4 linked regions of the Arabidopsis thaliana genome follow. The protein of the gene in region 2 interacts with the protein of the main gene of each other region in a pairwise test. Each region holds a gene or a part of one and is shown on either strand. Other genes may lie near its edges.

Region 1 (5,838 bases), 1.2 Mb from region 2:
AAATATCAAGGTTTACACACTATATACCGAGGCTAATACATGATATAAACCTCAACTTCACCAATTCATGGATCTTCTTAATGGCCACCTACCATGCCAACCAACCCATTAAAGAATTTCCACTCTTTTTAAGTTTCGTTCTAAATCAAGAAATTGTTCAACACAATTTCTAACCCCACATTATGTGTATTTTCAATAAAGTTAACCTCTTACTAAAATGAGAGTGTTACTTTGATGCTACCAAACGAAATCCAAATACAGTATAGTCCTTGTGCTTACAATTTTCTTCCTTTCTTTTTGAAATAAAAAGTTAATGTTAAAATGGTAACACATGTTGAAGTGAGATCTCAGTGGCGTTAGATGCAATTATTTGAAATGACATTACTTCTTTTCTCTATAAGGCAGTGTATTTTGCGAACACTTTTATCAGCTTTTGACCACCATTTCTATCTTTAACTTTTCTAAAAATATTTTTTTAATTTCTTACATAACTTTTCTAAAAACATATAAAGAATATTTGAAGTGAGATTGAAGACTTAAGATACTGGAATCGGGCTATGTAGTATCTCTTTAGATTTTACTATAATGTTTTTGGTCGAACTTGAACTAGTCACAAAATATGATCTCGTTACAAATACTTATACAAAAGTTACTTTCAACAACAAAAAAAAAGTTCTAGTTTACTTACTTTTAAAAATGATAGTGCACGAACTACTACGAGTGGTTTTCATATTTCGCATAATTGAATTTCATAGTATGCTAATTGCTAAGTAAGTAATTTCTTATTGTCTTCTCCTACGTAATGAGCCAAAAGGAACGATTTTTCAAGAATTCTTAAGGATCTTCCAAAACTTCAAAATCACAAAAACTCGGTTAGAATCACTGATTACCGAAAATTGGGAAACCAAACCAGAGAAAAAGCTAATTTTGTCAAATCTAAACCTTGAATCCTTAACATATCCATGCAACCCTTTGAAGTGCCTCTTGGATCATTCCTGTTGTTGCTATTTTTGTCCCTTTATGCTGCAATCAACATTAAACATTACATATCACATTTCGGTTTGCTCATATTCCGGTTGAGTAACATAAATCAAGCTTGGTTTAATGACTGTACCTTGCAATTGACAGTTAAGCAGAGTAAACCGTCTCCGGTTGACGACTGAACCGAGTGAGAATCCAAGTTGAGATCACTAATCACATCCATTATCTCAAGCAATATCCCTTCTCTCCAAGCGCATCTAAGCTCAATAACCACCTCGTTACCTAATGAACTGATCCTTAAGTTATCCGTTAGACCAGCATAACCGATATCAGCTGGTTCATCTTCTCCTACATTCACATCACTCCCCTTCCTTTTGCTGTTCATACAATTCGCTGATGCTCTTTCCTCCTCATCATCCGGTTTCTTCCTCTTCATCATCGTTATCCGTGTCTCTGTATCAGCAGATTCTCTACAAGATTCCAACTCTTGAACCCGTTTCTGTAAATCTTGAAGATACTCAATTGTATCATCAAGAATCGACACTTTATCAATCTGTAGAATCAGCAAGAGACTCAAGCTTAGTTCCTTCAGAGCATTATATTTAAACATGTCTTCCTATTATCAAGAAATAAACATAAAACGTTACTGAAACAGATTTGCTAGAATCGGTTACCTTACTAATTGAGGGAATGATTGATCTCAATGTCATAAACCGTTCATTCAATTTCTCGCGGCGTTTCTTCTCGGACAAGGCATGGTTCCCGGTTTCCTCTGGTGTGTCCGGTAACAACTCTTCTTTCTTGTTCATCAAAGGAACCTCGAAGAGTATCTTCTTTATCATCTTCTGCGATTTCTCTCCCAATGTTTTCACAGATGATGATCGCTTCCACCTTGTGAAGCTAGACCGCTTATCGAAGTTCTGAAACTGCGGTCCGAGTATTAGCTGATGCGTTGTTTTGAAAATCGTCGATATCACGCCTTGGTAATGAACATCGTCGTCCATATTTACATGGTTACTCTGTTCTTGAATCTGACCTAACCGTTGAATCCTACTCTTCCTTGGATCGCAAGCAAGTCTCCCGGTTGTTCCAACAAACGTTTGGGAAACGCAATCGCTTGAATTTAACGATTGGTGAATGCAGTTACTGATTTCTTCACCCACAAACTGCCAGCTTTGTACCTGAGACGCACCACCATCGTTGATGAACGAATCATGATCCTCAGGTTCTTGCTCAAACCCGCTAGTAGAAGTTGTTGGAAAAGCTTCGGTTATAAACACCGGAGTGTATTTATCGTCACTTAAGGGATCAAAAATTTCTTGATAGTCTGATCTTGTCGATATTGTAGTATATGGAGGAGCTTCAAGGAACAACGTCTTAACACTTTGTATCACGTTCATGTCCTCTTTAATCTAAAAGAACAAAAGATAAGTTTTGGGTACTTTTAAGAATGTTTTGATAGTGTTGGAAAAAAAATAGGAAATATAGGCTTACATGTTCGGTCGTGCCAATCTCAAGGACTCCTCCAAGAAACGGGAAGCAAACCACTGTCTGAAGCGAAGCACTCTTTAAAGAGCAAAACGCCAAACGAAAAAAAAAAAAAAAAAGAGCGTTTTCAGTTATAGCGTTCTTGAATTCTAGCGTTAGCGTTTCCAATTGCAAAAAACTTACTTTAGCTAGAAGAGAACGAGTGAAGACTTTGCTATCGGCGGTTTCAGCGTTACAAAGCCATATTGGTTCTCCATTGGATAACGCTCCTCCGGGGATTCTACATTAGAAAGACGGAAATACCCTTTATGTTTTGTATCTCAAAATCTTTATCTTAATGGGAACAAAAGTTTTCTACTACTTTCTTTGAATAGCAAATGTATAATGCAATTATGCAAATGAAGTAAAAACTTATTTCCGTTGTGCTTTCGCATTTCTATCTATGTATGTCTTCTAAGATTAAAAAGAGGTATACTTTAAAAAAACCTACAAACATAAAAAAAATTAAGTAAATATAAAGGATAATTGCATTGTTAATAATTAAACTCGTACATGTCGGATTTCTGAATAAGCTCACATGGAAGAAGAAATGAAGGAGACAAGCTAATAAAGGGTGTTCTTGTCTTTTTTTATGAGACAAAATAAAACATACCCTTATACTTTTTTTTTAGAATTTTGGTATCGTTTACATTTTCTTATAATGTCTACGAATAAAATAATACTATAATTTAAAAACGATATTCTTCATAAAAGAAATTTTTCTGAAAGATAGGTTTTTGTTTTTAAAAAAGGTGAAATGAAAGGATTATGAGGAAGAGACGGAATTACCCTTCACCGATGTTGAAGACGAAAGACATGCATACTAAGTAGTACCACTCGGTGTCGGTGAGGTCCTCCGGTGAGAGAGCGGCGGCGGAAGCTCGTCTAGTGACCTGAGAGCTACCGGAAGCTGAGGATTCAGCGAGGGAGAGAGATTCATAAAGCTCTCTAAGCTGCTCACTTCTCTCAAGACCTAACTGGTCAATTTTGACTTCTGCTGCTTGAATCGTCTTCCTTGTCTTTATGTCTCCATTGTAATATCCATCTCCCCACTCCAACACTCTTCGTTTAGAGAAAACAAAAAAGATAGCCAAGAAAAATTGGATTAATCGAGAAAACATAACAAAAATCGAAATCTTGAAGTAAGGATAAAGTTTTATCTGAGTTTTGGACTAAAGTCAAGAATGTCTCAAACAAAACTTTATTTTCAAGAAAAGTTAATTTGAAGGATAAAGATTACGAGATTGTACCCTGGTTGAGAAGCAGAGACAGACCAGAAGATTCCATAACTCCATTGAATGTTTCGAACTGAAACTGCGAGCTGTTTCTTTAGATTGTCCGGCACCGTTCTGTTTTCTCCGGTTGCCATTGTTTCTTCATCCCCATGTAACAAACAAACGAACAAACAAAGATCAGATTTTTTGTCAAAAACAAAACTTTGTTGTCTTTGAATAAATCAAAAGAGAAACAGAAAAAAAGCAGAAGTGATTTAAAGGTTATGACTAGTCATGAGTTAGTGATTTTTACATGACATTGGTTTGGTTTCCTGAGGAAGAAAGAAGAAGACAACAAAACCCAGAATATATTTATTTTTTTTAACCTTCTATAATGGGAAAATATTAAATATTTGTGACTTTCAAGTTACTATCTGTTGTGGTTGAATTGAGCTTTGAGTTGAGAGAAAAGGACGGTGTCCGAATGACCAAATCTCTTTATGGATACTTATTTTAGGTGTGTGTACACTGTATATAATCACAAAACACTGAACTTTACGAGGAATTTTAAATAAATATATATAAAACAAGATGGTAAAAAAAAAAAAAAGTAGTGTCTAGTGTATAACCCTTTTGAATACGGTGTTCCAAGCACCACTCTCCTTTTGGAAATTTATTTTTGTTAAGAGAAATTAGTTATTTTTCCATCTCTAAAATCTTTTTTCTATCAATGATATGTCCTATTCTCTACGTTTCATGATAAACGATGTTCTGAAGAAATTTGTTTGTTTCACAATATAAAATATTTTCAAGTTTTTATGTAAATTATAGATTAATTTAATATTGTATACATATTTATATTATGCATCAGCTTTTATAATCTGCTGAATTTTTTAAAAAATATTTTTTAATTTTTATATTTTTAATTAAAACATCTTATATTTTGATTTTTTAATTTTTATATTTTTATTTAAAACATCTTATATTTTGAAACGGAGGAAATAACTTTTTTTAGTAACTCATAATATAGGTCTTTAGACTTTAAGCAGAGTTTGAACCAAAAAAAAAATTCATAGGCATAACACTTACAAATCCAACCAAACCAATTTGCCACCCTTATAAGCAATGTTTATATGTTACTGCCTTACTGGTCAAATATATACACAAATATTAACTTGATTTTAAGATAGAACAAATCCTAATGGTGAAACACGAAGAAAGACATGAAATTAATGTTATGCCTCGAGGAGATACCCTGGAGAGAGAGACAAGCTTCTAGTATTGACTAAATTACGTTGTATGGTTTAACTAAAATATAATATATACTATGTTCATTGAATATATATATTCTACATTGTTTTCGAATCTTCGGAAATACCATAGAACATTTGTATAATTGCTAATTAATTTTCTATGCACCTTCATTTTAATTAATCGCAACCTCGTAAATTATTTGTATTAAAGATGCGTACACGAGCCAATTATATATGGAGTTAGACAATAAGGTTATCAAGAACGAGTGAATTTGGGATCTAAAGATAATGTAAGGTTTAGTATTCTTCCTTGACTTCAATTCTAAGGTAAGGGATTGATAATGGGTTTAGCTATGTAACAACCTATGTTGATCAAAATCACGAGAAAATGATATTTAAATGAGATGATTAATAAAGAAGAAACCAAGAGTCATTATTATCATATGCTATGTGCATGCTCTTAATTAATTCTTCGCATCTCCCAAAATTATCACCCCTAACTAGGACTACTTGTCGTGTCTGTACGTTGAAAAACGGAGTCAGATATTGTTTATTTCATGTACTAACTGTATGATTCATAAAACATAATAACCTGATAAATGAAGATTTGTACATTTATATCAACGTGAACGTCTGTGTTTTCAGTAATTTCTTAAATAGTTTTTCTTTGCTGATTATTTTTTTCGTTACTTTCCTAAAAGATATGTCATCTAGTTACACTGTGGTCATCGTGAACACACGCAAACATTAGATTCTGTAGCCTATAGTCTCCGGCTCTCAGCTCAAAAAGGGTCATTTTGACTTTTGCTTAATATATATAATTTGACTATAAAAATGTAGTGAAATACTACAATTCTGGACAG
Region 2 (3,975 bases):
ATGTTAGGTCCCTACAGAACACCTAATTACATTCTAACAATTTTTTGAACATTGGATCCAACACGAAATCAAAGTAAGCCAGAATTGAATGTACTCGATTATTATATTTTGCATATACGGCGTTGAACATATTGGAATTTGATAGATCTTTTAAACAATTTGTAACACATGTGTAAGTGTGTGACCTTTCAATATAAAACACCAATATATCAATCACTCTATCAGAAGTCCATTTCCGTTCTCCGGTTGGCCCATAGCAAAACACTATGCACGTACAAGAATCTATTATTATATAGCGCATACTTACAAAATCTAATGTCTCTGTAGTTACTAATATATGATACAAGTTCAACGGTTGCTGTTAAGAAAATTAGGCATGTATATTGCCAAAAAGATATATACATTGTACAACACCATTGGTCCAAAACTTATGAAGTAATGAAAATCCAAAATTCCAAATGCAAATAATCTCAAATAAAAATCTAAAATTCCAAAATATATATATTCTTATTTTTTTATTTTTTACAAAATGTAAACTCACACAGAAACGGAAACATAAGGTTTGCCTAAAATACTATAAGATATTAGTTAATTTAGAAAATAGATACTAAATTAAATAGAGAAACCTCACAAACAAGAGAACACAAACGTTTATAAACACTAATCAAAGATCACAGTCTCTCCATCGAACAAATTCCAAAGTTGCTCAACGTCAAACGCCAAAGTGCCCTCCTTTTCTGTTGCCGCCGCTTCTGTAACCAGCACATCTACCTCTTGGCCCTCGTCTAGCAAACGCTCCAACCATATATTATCTCCAACCATAAAATTATCCACAAAATCATCTTTCTCATCATCTTTGTTACATGTGATACTATTTTCACAAACATTATCGTTGTCGAGTCCAAGGCATGGAGGAATTACACCAACTTCAGACTGTCCATCGAGATGGTTGCAGCCGGTTTTTATAGAGAAGAATCGAGGCCGAGGCTAAAAAATATCGACTTTTTGGGCCGGTGTATTAGGAGGGGTTATAATATTTATCCTTTTTATCTTAGTTTTACAACACGGTTCATGCTTCTTACTCAGATGGGTGTTCCAGTAGTTCTTGACATCATTAGCGGTCCGACCAGGTAATCGACCAGCAATCAAGGACCACCTACGTATACATACGAGTTACTAGTATTAGACTTATTGCTCGTTAAATAAGTAGAATAAAGTAAATTATACCTATTTCCTAGAAGCTTATGAAGACGAAGAAGAAGATCAACTTCATCAGAACTAAATTTTCCTCTCTTGATACTTGGCTTCAAATAGTTTAACCATCTTAGTCTACAACTTTTCCTGCACCGATTTAGCCCTACAAAACCAATAATTGACATTAGTTAAACCTAAGAAGATTGCTGTCTCTTTCTATAATTTTATCATAAAGAATCTATGCACACCAATAGAAACAATGTACTATACACACATACGCACGTGTTCGTATAAAAACTTTCACTAAATTCATTTATGAATTAGAAGACAAACCAATCGTAGAATTAAACGACTTTTCGGAAGTTCGCATTTTGTTTTTAGAATATGTAACGTAGATAAACATAGAACATTTTAAAAAAAAAAAAAAAAAAAAATCTTCCTCTAAGTTCAACATTAAAGTTTCCAATAGTTGGTCGGTATATTGAATACCGGATCAAAATCTAACGAGTCTGTATATTATTTCATCGTTCACTCCGATATATTCCGGAACAACTTCGGACCAACCCCGGTCTATATATGTTAATACGTAATGAACAGTAAATGCATACCAAAATATTACTATTTAACATATCAAAATGTTGGTCTGATCATTAGTCTAATATAGAGCATACAACACAACCAGTCAAAGTCTAAGTATGATTTTATGAACAGTGTAAAGAAATTTTCATGATTATGTGTTTAGATACATACCAGCTCTTAAAGGAACTTGATGCCATTTGCCTTCTCCATACTTACCAATACACTGCCTCAAGAGACTATCTTCTTCAGCAGTCCATGCACCTTTCCTCAACCCTTTGGACGAACCCTCCATGGACCAAAGATAGATATCTAAGCAAACTATAAGAAAAGGATTGAGATAGGTATATATTGTGACTTCAGAGATCCTTGGAGGAGTAGAGAGTGTGAGTATCTGAGCGGAAATATATACACACGTGACGGGCTTAGGAAAGTGACGTGCATGTGTAATATCCACATTTCTGTTTTACATGTCGTGCTTTATTTGCTAAGTTATTGTTTGGTTTCTGATTTGACTAGAGAAATGGTTCATAGACACCTAACTTGTCTCTTCATCCTTTTTCTGTACTTCAAAACATGCAAAAATGAAAAAATAGGAGAATTGATGGCAGATGGTCTATATATATGAGGAGGCTATTTTTCTCTTGTTTTTCTTTCATTTACAGATTATTGGAGTGTTTTTATCCACTGCAGATCTCACAAACTTTGAATTCTTAACACTAATGTACATATTCATCAAGTGATTTTTTTTTTTCCATTTAGCAGAATTGAACTTCCCCACTCTAGCCTTCATCTTTTGATCGCTTTACCCTTAATTCATCTTCATCTTATTAGTGTATACTGTTTGTTTAGTATAAAAGTATTTCTTTGTAACACATCTCCTCAGAAACCTCAAGGGGGACTAAGAATATATTATATCAATATTTTCTTGTTATAAATAATTGAAGGACCAAAAAATAATAAAATAATAATAATAATTGAAGAATTTATGTCACAAAAATATTTCATGAAATTTTTTTATCTAGTAAAAAAATATCTAGTACATAACTCTTGACCCACATAACGGTCAAAATTCAGGCTTCCTACAACATACATATTTCATGAAGATTTCTACAATATCTAAAAAGGTAACCCAAGACCTGATCACAAAATATTCAACAAGTCATAGTGTGTAGCAGGTATGATATAACATAAAAACTAATTTGATTTATTCCAGATACCTCTAAAATAATATATTCTAGATTATGATTAAAATATATAATTTGATTTTGGTGAAACAAGTATGATATAACATAAAAACTAAGACAGAATATCCTTTAACAAAAACTAAAATAATATTAATTCTTTTTTGTTAGCGCAAAACACACCAATTATGTAATTTTATGATATAGGATAGCACTGGTGATGATTAGCTGATATTTTGTAGAATATTTTTGAAGGAAATAGTAAGAATTTTTTTAACTTTTCAAGTGAAACCAACGTGTATGCTCATCGTCCACAAACAATTTTCCACATGAGACATAATTTCATAAAAGCTATAAGGTGTGAAGTCATTTCTTTCAAGATTTTCCAGAACAAAAATAATCATACACTGTAAGGAAAATTTCCTTTTGAAGTGATAGATATTTATCATACATTTTTAGAATTTTATATTTTCTTTTCAACCGACGTCATAGTAATTAATACCAGATGAACGAGACTAGTATGGATTTGGGAGAATTTCAAGGAATAAACTTCACTTTACTGACACAAAGTTTTATAGATTTTCTGAAGAATAATTTACTTGGAAGTTTCACGTTTAAGTTTTTTCTCAAAGAATGCTAAATTTATGAATCTTTTAGAAAAATCTGACTTACACACTTGTATGTGTGTAACCTTTAATAAGAAAACACTATTCAATCACAAGTTCCTTTCCGATCCTCCGGTGGTTATGTTTGCCAAAACCCATGTGTTAAATTGATATATAATAGAATATAATAATAATAGATCTGATTGATAACATAAATTAGTTGAAACTGTAAGTTATTTTGAAACAATGTAAAACTGTAAAAAATAGTTATACGAAAAAGTTGTACAATAAAACTAAAAATAAAAAATATTATAATGATTTTGATAAAAAAAATTGTGAATGATAAATATCGAAAATATACAAAAAAAATATATCGTTTTGATAGTAGTTTATCATTCAAAGCTAATAAAAACAAC
Region 3 (5,387 bases), on a different chromosome or scaffold from region 2:
TGGGACAGCTTCTAGATATGGACCCCAACAAAAAAAAAAAAAAAAAAAACTGAAACTAATACAAGTCAAGACCCAACTATAGTAACTAGGTTTGGGTGAACCATTGGGACAACAATCTTCCACAACCTTTGCGATATTGTCACGGATGGTTATGTCAATCTGCCACAAAACAATCTTAGGAGAGAACTTGAAGTGTTGTGCAATCTCTCATTTCTTTCTCTCCGAAGAAAGAAAATTGTTGCTTGTATAATGAGAATTAAAGACTTCAAGTTCTCACTCAACTTTAAATTTATCTAACTTTTCTCTTTGTCGTGGTTCATGTCGCTTCTTTTTCATCCTGAATGCAATTTGATATAGGATCCCATTGGTTAGGATTGTATATGTTTTGTAAAATTTAGGGTAATATATAGACTTTTATACTATAATTTTATTATTATATACATTTAAAAAATGTCTAGGGCATCTAAAATTAAATTAATTGTTTCTATGAAAATAGAAAATATAAACACAAACATATGGCTATAATGAGTGTGTTGTGCCAACAGAAATAATTTATAAAATTAAACACAAAGTTTTGTCGTTATGGAAATAAATGTGCATGCAACCACAAGTGGTGCGTTACTAAATTATGTAGGGCTTCGTGGATAGAGATGGATCAATTATTATTTTCACGAGTTTCTTGCCTTCATTTCAGCCAGCTCTCTCCTGATCTTGCCTTCAATTTTATTACTATTTTTTTACTGCCACTTGCTATATTTACTTACTTCGGACAAAATAGTGCTTTGATGGTAAACAAATAACGATCGGTATATGCGATGTCTCGCGATTGATTATCAAACTTGAACAGTAGTGTGTATTTGTTTAATATATAATCTATTAGAGTATCATGGAATTATTCGGGTGAAATGCGCATTTATATCTATCATAGAAACTAGAATCTTCACTATCCAAATAGTATATTCCATTTTCTTGCAACTACGTATAACTACATTCTGTTTGTCATATATTTAAGATCGAGTAACAAAAAATTAATCATCTTCATTGATGTGAGCCAGACAAAGAGTTCAATTTTTTTGGTTGTTAAAGTATGTTGATACTTGATACGTTTACCAAAACACAAAAAAACAATGTAGGTCGATACGTTCCATTTCCACACAACAAGATAGATACAAATATATAATGATTGTAAGACAATAAGACCCCGACATGTCTTAACACGAAAAAAAAAGTAACTAAGTTTATATAAACCAACACAAGTTTAACTAAGAATCTAAGAATCTCTACTTTGTTGATTTCATAAGTGTATTCATCTAAATTAGTTATAAGTACAATGTAATATCAACATGTATTTATATTGTCTCTTGTTGGATATTAACTATCCAAACCAAACCTATAATATGAAATCATCAAAACATTAATCATTATGGTCAAACTATCTCAAGTTGTATTCTTTAAAAAGTGTCACGATAAACTCTAACATCATAGTGGATTTAAGACAACACAAATCCAAAAGAGTTAAAAAGATCGGTCTTAAATTTATGATTCATATCCATGCATGATGTTGGCCAATCACCTAGTATAGTAGTAATAACCAAGCTTTTGACTAAATGAATAGGAGGAAACAAAAAAACTATATTGAATCTTTCTTTTTGCAATATTTTTCAGCATCATCACTAATTTAGAGAATATTTTACCTTGGTTTTCACCAAATAGAATCCAACACTATTACCATATGTATTGTATAAAGATAAGTCACTCCAAAAACCAAGATCATGACCCAAGTCAACCACTCTCTCTCATAATTCAGACACAGTACTCAACTTTAAAGACACTCTTTTAAGACTTTCCATCAGGACCAAGCTGAGAAAGAGAAAGCAATAAAGAAAGAAAGAAAAGGAAATAAAGCTTCAATACCAAACCCTTCTTTAATAAATTTTGCCTTTTGGTTGTCTCCTCTTTATCAATCACTTTGGTTCCATACTTTTAAATTCAGTTCTTCACGATATCTAGATATGTCTTTGACAATGGCTGATGGTGTAGAAGCTGCAGCAGGAAGAAGTAAAAGACAAAACAGCTTATTAAGAAAACAACTTGCTTTAGCTGTAAGAAGTGTTCAATGGAGCTACGCAATCTTCTGGTCGTCTTCACTTACTCAACCTGGGTAAGTATAATCTAATATTCATCATGTACCAAAATTATCAGATCTTGTTGTTCTCATCTTTGCATTTCCATTTTCTCTTCTTTTAAATCTTGGGTTACTTATGAGTACTATGTTCTACTAATTTAGGGTTTTGGAGTGGGGAGAAGGATGTTACAATGGAGATATGAAGAAGAGGAAGAAGAGTTATGAATCTCATTATAAATATGGGTTGCAAAAAAGCAAGGAGCTTCGGAAACTTTATTTGTCTATGCTTGAAGGAGACAGTGGTACTACTGTTAGTACTACTCATGATAATCTCAATGATGATGATGATAATTGTCACAGTACAAGTATGATGCTGTCACCAGATGACCTCTCTGATGAAGAGTGGTACTATTTAGTCTCCATGTCCTATGTCTTCTCTCCTTCACAATGGTTTGTTCTCTCACTCTCTCTCTCTCTTCTCCTATGAATTTGTACACTAAAATATATTAGCTCTTGTGAACTATTCATATAGAAAAACCAATTTGCAATAAAGAAGTAATGAGAAATGTCCTTTCATTTTAAGATGAAACATCCATCACTTTGGGTAAAGAGTTTAGTACCACCAAAACCATTTGGTAAATAGTGGAGTGATTATTCCTTTGGGGTTCCTTTTTGTTACACTTTCACCTTTTGCATTTTAAGTAATCCTAGATTAAGTTTTTTTTTTCTCTTTTATGATCATTAATTATTGTCATTTTGGCTTTTTTGGTTGTTTATGTATATACTTTAGTTTGCCTGGAAGAGCTTCAGCGACGGGTGAGACCATATGGCTCTGCAACGCTCAATATGCGGAGAACAAGCTCTTCTCTCGTTCTTTGTTAGCAAGAGTAAGTTCTCAGAAACTTCTAATTTCCTCTTCTTGAATCTTGATATATCAAGATCGAATCTGACTAAAAATCTCCTTTGATCTTCTTTGCTTTTCATTACTGTTCATATGGCTTCTCTCCTTTAGAGCGCATCAATTCAGGTACGTTATAATGTTTGTTATAACTGGATTCTGATTGTTAGAAATAAAAGTTTAGTTCTCTTATTGTTAGAAATGAAAGTTTAGTTATCTATATATCAATTTGGATAGAAGATTTATAGAATGTATCTGTGTTGTTATCTCCAGACTGTTGTGTGTTTCCCTTACTTGGGCGGAGTCATTGAGCTGGGCGTCACTGAATTGGTAACTCTCCATCTTAATATATAAAGTTTTACTTTTGTTGCTTGCTTCACAAGAATTAAATATACCTTACTTTGTTTAATTTTGTTCATGATCAATGAAAGATTTCAGAAGACCATAACCTGCTTCGAAACATCAAATCTTGCTTGATGGAAATATCTGCACACCAAGACAACGATGACGAGAAGAAGATGGAGATTAAGATCAGTGAAGAGAAGCATCAGCTTCCATTAGGTATTTCTGATGAAGACTTGCATTACAAAAGAACCATTTCAACAGTACTCAACTACTCCGCAGATAGATCAGGTAAGAACGATAAGAACATTCGTCATCGTCAGCCAAATATTGTTACTTCTGAACCTGGCTCAAGTTTCTTGCGGTGGAAGCAATGTGAGCAGCAAGTCTCGGGTTTTGTTCAGAAAAAAAAGTCACAGAATGTGTTGCGGAAGATATTGCATGATGTCCCTTTGATGCACACAAAGAGAATGTTCCCAAGTCAGAACTCTGGTCTGAATCAAGATGATCCTTCAGATAGAAGAAAAGAGAACGAAAAGTTCAGTGTCCTTAGAACTATGGTTCCCACTGTCAACGAGGTAATAACTCTTTTTCTAAATCCTTAGAGACAAGACTGTGTTTCAGAAGCCAACACTCTGTTTTGAATCTTTGTGCAGGTTGATAAAGAATCGATACTAAACAACACAATCAAGTACCTGCAAGAACTGGAGGCAAGAGTAGAAGAGCTAGAATCTTGTATGGGATCAGTTAATTTTGTAGAAAGACAAAGAAAGACGACAGAGAACCTTAACGACTCTGTGTTGATCGAAGAGACATCAGGGAACTACGATGATAGCACGAAGATCGATGACAATTCAGGAGAAACCGAACAAGTCACTGTTTTCAGAGATAAGACACATTTGAGAGTTAAACTCAAAGAAACAGAAGTTGTGATCGAAGTAAGATGTTCTTACAGAGACTACATAGTTGCGGACATCATGGAAACTCTGAGCAATCTTCACATGGATGCTTTCTCTGTTAGATCTCACACGCTCAATAAGTTCCTCACATTGAATCTCAAGGCCAAGGTAAATTAATCTTACTGATGTTTGGAAAAGGCAGATTTGGGTTTTCTTGACTTACACGTAACGTTTTTGGGTTTATGCATGCAGTTTCGCGGGGCTGCAGTTGCGTCCGTAGGAATGATTAAGCGAGAGCTGAGAAGAGTCATTGGTGATTTGTTTTAATGTTCTTCTTAGTAAAAATTCTTATATTTTCTTAAACTTTTGATGAAATGTTATATTTATCTAGACTTTCGTGAACCGATATGCGATGTGCCATTATCTTTACATCAAGTTTTCAGGGTTTTTGTATGTAAAGTTTGCCAAAGTTTGGTTGGAATTTTCGACAACGTTGTCTCTTCCTCTTCTACAAAACCAAGATCTATACTTATTCATAATTCATGGGCGATTTGTATCTTTCATTAATGATTGTTTTGAGCTATTATATTATTTGTATTGATAGAAAAAAATAACCAATTGGCTTTGGCTCAACTTCTTTCCCGTGAAGAGGATGGATCATATACATATCCTATTGTAATTTGAATGAACCCTATTGGGTCAAGGATCATGATCTCATGGGAAAGCTAATGAGCTTTATCCACCTCAAAGCCAATTGGTTACTAATGCTTGAACTAAATCTGTCTTATATACTAGCTAAAATTTCCATATGTTTCCGATGTGGGATTTGTTAAAGTTACTAATGCAATTTTTCTGCCGACATTATCATAATAAGTTGTACCTTAAACCTCAAGTAATTGATTTGGTCCTCATAGGCTATTAGGTTTAGTGGGCTTTTGGGCCGTATTAAACCCGTTTGATTAGAAAAGCTAGCGCTCGCCAAAAGCCCTAAACTTGTCTCGTAGCCTCAACCTCTTGATATTATGCTTCGTTTAGGTCGTCATGTGTGATTCTGTGCTTCAGTTTCTTTCTAAATCCTTAAATAAACGGATTGATATTTACTAAACGGAGGATAATGTAACTT
Region 4 (6,976 bases), on a different chromosome or scaffold from region 2:
TCTTTTCATTAGTCATTACCGCTTGATATTTTTACTATCTTACGCATGTTATGAAAGATTATAAAGCTTAGGTTTTGGGTAGCAAAAAAGGGTTAGGAAAAAGAAAACCATACTATTTGTTATCCGAAAATGTCAAACTAATTCCTCTAACTGTGGTAAAAGGTTATAAAATCAAATCCTCTAGATTGATGTAAGTGATTTTTAAATCGTTATTCGGTCAGATCACAAGTTAATGATGAACTTTTCAGGGTTCAATACATGGCGATTTTAGCCATGGATCCCCAACGGGATCATGGGATTACGGTCCAACTGACCGGTTTGGACCGGGTCTTAATATATTGAACAAAATACAAGAAATCTCTCATTCACACGAATGATTACATTTCAGAAAAAGAAAGAAAAAATAACTCAAAAAACTTCACACCAATTTGCATCACACTATATTACCCATTATTTTTCTACAATTATGTGGTCCACTTTTCAAATAGTTCACTCTCATCATAAACCGGCCGGGGTCCTTCAAAGCTCATGCAGTTGTGCGTTGTAAAGATATATTGTATTCCAACAACTAATTCTTGCCAAAACACTTTTGGCTAATGTCATTTTCATTGAAAACAAAGCATTATAAATAGGAATGATTTGTCATTTCTGGAATGGAAGAACTTGGGTTTTAGTTAACATTTGTGCCTAACCAACCTCTCGTTTATGTACTAAAGCATTGTCCTTGTGATTGTGAATAACCAATCGCTCATTTCTGTGTTAGAACAGTATTGTTTATTTTCTGTTATTTGAATCATTTCCAATGAGAAATGAGTTACATAACACCTTTATTTATAAACACAAAGATGCACACAAGGAGAAGCAAAATCAATAAGAAGAAACCACTCCACGTGGCCCGTCGTCAGAGTTACATAATTGGTGAACGACTAAACTCAGAAGAAACAACATGTAATAAGAAACACAGAAGCAGAAGCAAAAGCCAAGCAACATTTATTTTGTCGACAAAAAAGCCAAGAAACATTCAATGTTGATTTTGTCTAAGTAACCAGGTGTACATACATTACCCTTAACCATACCCAAAATCGTATGTACTACGATATGTGTACGTAACAGTATCTATCTACATTTATATTTTATAAGACATTATTAAATGGGAAACTTATAGTGGCTAGTGGCTGCTACTTGGCTAGCAATTAACATCAATAATTTAATAACTCAAATGTGAAACATCTCATTCTTCTCCTTTATTACACCAAACCATTTCTCATTCTTTACTTACCGGTCAGGTCAACAATTCTACCATTCCCCATCTTTGGTTAAGTTTATCTTTTCATTTTAAAGAAAATATATATGAATGTTCATCCAATAATTCCAACTTCTTAAAATTGTTAATGAACATTTTAATCAATATATAATTTTAATATCAATTTTATAAATAATAGAAATGTGAAAAACGCAATTTCTTTGCTCCTTGTAGCAGTAACACAAGTCAAAGCAACATTTGTTTTCATTTGTTTGTCAGTTAGCTATTTTATCTACAATAATATGTTATGCTTTCTGAACAATAAATAAATATAGCATTATTAGATATATTCATTCTGTATTTTGATTTGTCCAATTAGTATATGACACGTCTACAAGATACATAGATCTTTCATTATTTCACTTTCTCATCCAACGTCTGGTGAACCAACCATTCAAAAATCAAAAGTCAACTTTTAATGCACTTGAGTTTTGGTCATGCATTCATATACATACATATATACATAGAAGTCATTACATGCATTATACTTTACTTATGTCAACATGTTGCAAAAGCACTAAGATGATATACGTATACATGCATATTGCAAAAATCAGTGGTCCCATACCATTTTAAGTCATCATGAGCGTATGAGAGTAAATTCTTCTCACATATTAATAACAACCCTTCAAAGTTATAAGATTTTTAGAGAGAGAGCTACCACGTTTTCGTATCTCCGGGAACGATGGATGAATCAAGTATTATTCCGGCAGAGAAAGTGGCCGGAGCTGAGAAAAAAGAGCTTCAAGGGCTGCTTAAGACGGCGGTTCAATCTGTGGACTGGACTTATAGTGTCTTCTGGCAATTTTGTCCTCAACAACGGTTAGTTTCTTATCTCTATAGTTCATTCATCTCTCACAATACAACCATAATATCTATATCCGTATATATTATGTAAACTATATGTTTAAATGAATTCGGCTAATTGTTGGCTTGTCGTAGTGTTACAATTCGATCTTGAAATAATTTTTTTTTTTTTTGAAGGTTTTACAAAATTTATTAAGATTTTTGAACTACTTATATGAAAGTATCATTGTTTAGGGTCTTGGTGTGGGGGAATGGATACTACAACGGTGCAATAAAGACGAGGAAGACAACTCAACCAGCGGAGGTGACGGCAGAAGAGGCGGCGTTAGAGAGGAGCCAACAGCTCAGGGAGCTTTATGAGACACTTTTAGCCGGAGAGTCAACGTCAGAAGCAAGAGCATGCACCGCATTGTCACCGGAGGATTTGACGGAGACAGAATGGTTTTATCTAATGTGCGTCTCTTTCTCTTTTCCTCCTCCATCTGGGTAAACAACTCTCTCCCTATACTCAAGTTTCTAAATTTGTTCTTTCTTTTTTTTCCTTCTCTAAGTGAAGACAAAAATAGTATTGTGTGTTAAATGCGAATATCGAAAATATTGTGTTGACATTAAAGAGAAACTGAGGAAGTTGAGTTACTAGAATAAGAAAGAAATGAGAGTTAATGAAACGTACACACACTACATTTTCATGAACATTATTGCGACCGTTGAGATTCTCATTGTTTGGTGATTGATTATCTAAAGTAGAAGCATGAATAGATATAACATAAATGCATAACAAAATGGGTTAGTTATGGGTATACTTCATGCTTTTCTCTATGTGGTAAAAAAAAATCAAATATAAATTTGGGAGGTAGTAATTTGTAGGATGCCAGGAAAAGCGTATGCAAGGAGGAAGCACGTATGGCTAAGTGGTGCAAATGAAGTTGACAGTAAAACTTTTTCTAGAGCTATTCTCGCTAAGGTAAATTCTTTTATTCATTCACCAACTATACTATGCATCTATTTTTACCTATTTATGTATACACTATACTATGTATCTATCTACTTGTAAACCTATTTATCTATACTTTTATACATTTTCACTGATTAACTTGAATAATTCTTCTTGTCGTTTTATGGGCCTTTTACGTCGGTTCCTCAATGACTTAGAGTGCTAAAATTCAGGTAAAATTTGTCTTTATTAGTTTGCTCTTTTTAGTAAGATTTGAGAATTGTATTCTGATGAAAATGTATTTTAAAAAAGCAGACAGTGGTTTGCATTCCAATGCTTGATGGTGTTGTGGAACTAGGCACAACGAAAAAGGTAACGTTGTATATACTCTCTCTTTTATTTACTTGTTAATGAAATATATAAACAAAATAACAAAGTGAATATAGCCTATCTTTCTTTAGGTTTAGTAATGTTAAATTAAGGAGATGCACTACAAAAAAAAGGTTGTTTTACATCATTTATTATAAATATTTGCATTAGTTAAAAGTGATGTAAAAGAATTTTGTATCACTTAAATAAGTGACTTAAATATTGTTGATGCAAATAATTTGCATCAGTTAATTAGTAACTGATGTAAATAATCAAAATAATTACATCGATTATTATAATTGATATCAATATTGTATCAGTTACTAAAAATGATGTAATGTTTACATCAATTTATTTAAGTGATGTTAGTATTTGTTTCGGTTTAAATAACTGATTTAATTAATATATATATAATTATTAATACAATGTTATTAATATTTCAAATAATTATTTTATTTATTTCTTTTTTTTTTTTAAATAACAGATCATTGTGGATAATTACTCGTTGGAATATCTACTAAAATTTTATCAAGATTTAATAAAATATTTTACATGAACAATAAATCTTTATATAAGATAAGCAAAAAAATAATCATAATTTGGTTTTGGTTTCTTCGTGTTTAAACACATCTTTCTTCTGTTCCATGCTTCTTCCTTCCATTAACTGTTGGTTCTTCTTGAAAAATACCATTTCTTCTTCTATGCCATCTCTCTTCCATTTACAGAATCAAAATCATACTTTGGTTATAACTTATATCTCTTGAATCCTCATCACACTTGAGTTTCTGCTGTACAAAATAAAAAAGAGAGTAATTGTTTGAAAATTTACAGAATTGTTTTGGTCGGAATAAGAATAACCATTTGTAAGTATTTTTAAAAGAAAGTGATAGAGTACCTTTACTTTGTGTTTCTCCAAACTGTGTAGGAAAACAAACAGTCCTAATGATCAATGGCAGATTTCTGAAAATAAAAGAAAAGAAAAAAACTGAGCAATGGTTAAGAAAAAGAGAAAGATAGAATGATAGAAAAATAAGAAAGTACTTGTCGTTGAAGATGAAGAATTGAATGAGAGTTATGAGATTTCAAAAACTAATTTGAAGATATTCTAAAAACGTTTTTGGATACAAAACTGTAAAAAAAGATCGTGAGCGTAAAAGCAGGATTTATAGTGAAGGAAACAAATATATTTAGTTAGCTGATTTTGAGGGAAAATATAGGAATTAATAATAAATTATTAACCCAATATGATTATTTATTTATGGTAATAACAATTTCTCGTCATCTACAATAAATTCAAGTTAGTTTTTTGTTTAAATTAAAATACAGAAAAACTTATTAGCATCACTTCTTATTGATGTATAATTTTATATCATTTTTATAAACTGATGTTAATAAAATTAAGTGAATACATCGGTTATTTAATTGGTGTAAATACAGATTTTTGTATCAATTTGTTAAAATGATGCAAACTAATACAAATTTCTATCAATTTGATTAAAGTGACGCTAAACATGTTAATTTATACATCACTTATTATAATTGATGTTTAATTATTTATTTTGTGTCATTTGCTTATAAGTAATTTAAACTTGTACCATTTATACTTGTGATACTATTTAATTGATGTAATCTATCCTTTTTTTTGTAGTGATGGATCAATATTTATTTGTTGTATTTGTGTGTGTAGGTAAGAGAAGATGTAGAGTTTGTTGAGCTCACAAAGAGTTTCTTCTATGACCACTGCAAGACGAACCCAAAGCCGGCTCTTTCTGAACACTCCACCTACGAAGTGCATGAAGAAGCCGAAGACGAAGAAGAAGTAGAAGAAGAGATGACAATGTCAGAGGAAATGAGGCTTGGCTCTCCTGATGATGAAGATGTTTCCAATCAAAATCTACACTCTGATCTTCATATTGAATCAACCCATACGTTAGGTATATATATCTACCCTAAGCTACTTATATTTTGCGGATTTATTTCGCTATATCTAAGAAATTATCATTTGTATATATATGTAGACACACATATGGACATGATGAATCTAATGGAGGAAGGTGGAAACTATTCTCAGACAGTAACAACACTTCTCATGTCACACCCCACAAGTCTTCTTTCAGATTCAGTTTCCACATCTTCTTACATCCAATCATCGTTTGCCACGTGGAGGGTTGAGAATGGCAAAGAGCATCAGCAAGTGAAAACGGCGCCGTCGTCACAATGGGTGCTCAAACAAATGATCTTCAGAGTTCCTTTCCTCCATGACAACACTAAAGATAAGAGGCTACCGCGGGAAGATCTGAGCCACGTAGTAGCAGAGCGACGCAGGAGGGAGAAGCTGAACGAGAAATTCATAACGTTGAGATCAATGGTTCCATTTGTGACCAAGATGGATAAAGTCTCAATCCTTGGAGACACCATTGCGTACGTAAATCATCTTCGAAAGAGGGTCCATGAGCTTGAGAATACTCATCATGAGCAACAGCATAAGCGGACGCGTACTTGTAAGAGAAAAACATCGGAGGAGGTGGAGGTTTCCATCATAGAGAATGATGTTTTGTTAGAGATGAGATGTGAGTACCGAGATGGTTTGTTGCTTGACATTCTTCAGGTTCTTCATGAGCTTGGTATAGAGACTACGGCAGTTCATACCTCGGTGAACGACCATGATTTCGAGGCGGAGATAAGGGCGAAAGTAAGAGGGAAGAAAGCAAGCATCGCTGAGGTCAAAAGAGCCATCCACCAAGTCATAATACATGATACTAATCTATAGACCCTAACTTTATTGATGCCAACTCTAGAGAAGGATAATTAAGCGTATTTTTGTTTTAGCCTCACATGTATTAAGACATCAGTTACATATATAGCCGGATGCAACATATAAATGAAAATGTACTAGATGATATTGTTCATTTGTCCAATGTAGTACTTGTGTATGATGCAATTGCAACATATAAATGCAAATGTACTAGATGACGATGTTGTTCGTTGTCCAATTTAGTACTTTTGTATGAATGCGATATTTGGATGCAGATTCAGTTGCATCTAAAACATCATATTTTTTTTGATGCATAAAGATGTAGAATTTCTATGTAGTTTTTTCTTACGTTCAAATTTGAGAAAATATTATTAAAAAATCTTTACAAAATTCATTAAAATAATTTATGCCAAAATTTGTATGTCATAATTTATGTAATTTTATCATTAACCTCAGATTAGAGAAATCAAAGAGTTTATATAAAACATTACATTCTACTTTGGTGCTCAATTTTAAGAATCAAGTTGTAGCACATCAAATTACGAAATCAAATTTTCCAGCAAAATTACGAAATTGCGTTTTAGTGTAAGAATCAACAATTTCTAGAGTAGACTAATAGTTATACTCATAATTAGTGTATGGAAGAACATTTATAAGTCAAGAATATTAAGCTATCAACCAACGAGATAAATGTATTGACAATGTTCATAGTTGCAGCATGAGCTATATATATTTTTCTCTTAGTTGATCATCATACATTATCAAAGCTGCAAGATGTGTAACTGCATTGGCTCCACTTCCTTTGTTG

The links.
Region 1: the proteins of MYB114 (region 2) and EGL3 interact in a two-hybrid assay, tested with the Arabidopsis thaliana proteins (one study listed by BioGRID).
Region 3: the proteins of MYB114 (region 2) and ATMYC1 interact in a two-hybrid assay, tested with the Arabidopsis thaliana proteins (one study listed by BioGRID).
Region 4: the proteins of MYB114 (region 2) and TT8 interact in binary tests that used the Arabidopsis thaliana proteins (3 or more experiments, as listed by UniProt).

The regions. Positions count from the first base shown.
Region 1 is NC_003070.9:23,597,848-23,603,685, reverse strand, and holds EGL3 (basic helix-loop-helix (bHLH) DNA-binding superfamily protein), read right to left. Parts: upstream 4,274-5,838; 5' UTR 4,036-4,273; exon of another isoform or gene 3,883-4,035; 5' UTR 3,878-3,882; coding exon 3,759-3,877; intron 3,571-3,758; coding exon 3,298-3,570; intron 2,750-3,297; coding exon 2,653-2,749; intron 2,548-2,652; coding exon 2,476-2,547; intron 2,394-2,475; coding exon 1,656-2,393; intron 1,535-1,655; coding exon 1,115-1,534; intron 1,024-1,114; coding exon 952-1,023; 3' UTR 522-951; downstream 1-521. UniProt on the Arabidopsis thaliana protein: Transcription activator, when associated with MYB75/PAP1, MYB90/PAP2 or TT2. Involved in epidermal cell fate specification. Negatively regulates stomata formation but promotes trichome formation.
Region 2 is NC_003070.9:24,755,503-24,759,477, reverse strand, and holds MYB114 (myb domain protein 114), read right to left. Parts: upstream 2,181-3,975; 5' UTR 2,066-2,180; coding exon 1,945-2,065; intron 1,433-1,944; exon of another isoform or gene 1,380-1,432; coding exon of another isoform or gene 1,358-1,379; coding exon 1,228-1,357; coding exon of another isoform or gene 1,157-1,227; coding exon 988-1,156; 3' UTR 543-987; downstream 1-542.
Region 3 is NC_003075.7:216,310-221,696, reverse strand, and holds ATMYC1 (basic helix-loop-helix (bHLH) DNA-binding superfamily protein), read left to right. Parts: upstream 1-1,915; 5' UTR 1,916-2,012; coding exon 2,013-2,161; intron 2,162-2,287; coding exon 2,288-2,575; intron 2,576-2,915; coding exon 2,916-3,012; intron 3,013-3,137; coding exon 3,138-3,152; intron 3,153-3,296; coding exon 3,297-3,353; intron 3,354-3,454; coding exon 3,455-3,943; intron 3,944-4,021; coding exon 4,022-4,432; coding exon of another isoform or gene 4,433-4,441; exon of another isoform or gene 4,442-4,463; intron 4,464-4,516; coding exon 4,517-4,577; coding exon of another isoform or gene 4,578-4,591; exon of another isoform or gene 4,592-4,655; coding exon 4,656-4,831; 3' UTR 4,832-4,885; downstream 4,886-5,387. UniProt on the Arabidopsis thaliana protein: Trancsription activator, when associated with MYB75/PAP1 or MYB90/PAP2.
Region 4 is NC_003075.7:6,180,079-6,187,054, forward strand, and holds TT8 (basic helix-loop-helix (bHLH) DNA-binding superfamily protein), read left to right. Parts: upstream 1-1,802; 5' UTR 1,803-1,988; coding exon 1,989-2,125; intron 2,126-2,344; coding exon 2,345-2,596; intron 2,597-2,977; coding exon 2,978-3,074; intron 3,075-3,262; coding exon 3,263-3,277; intron 3,278-3,359; coding exon 3,360-3,416; intron 3,417-5,100; coding exon 5,101-5,347; intron 5,348-5,431; coding exon 5,432-6,183; 3' UTR 6,184-6,445; downstream 6,446-6,976. UniProt on the Arabidopsis thaliana protein: Transcription activator, when associated with MYB75/PAP1 or MYB90/PAP2. Involved in the control of flavonoid pigmentation. Plays a key role in regulating leucoanthocyanidin reductase (BANYULS) and dihydroflavonol-4-reductase (DFR).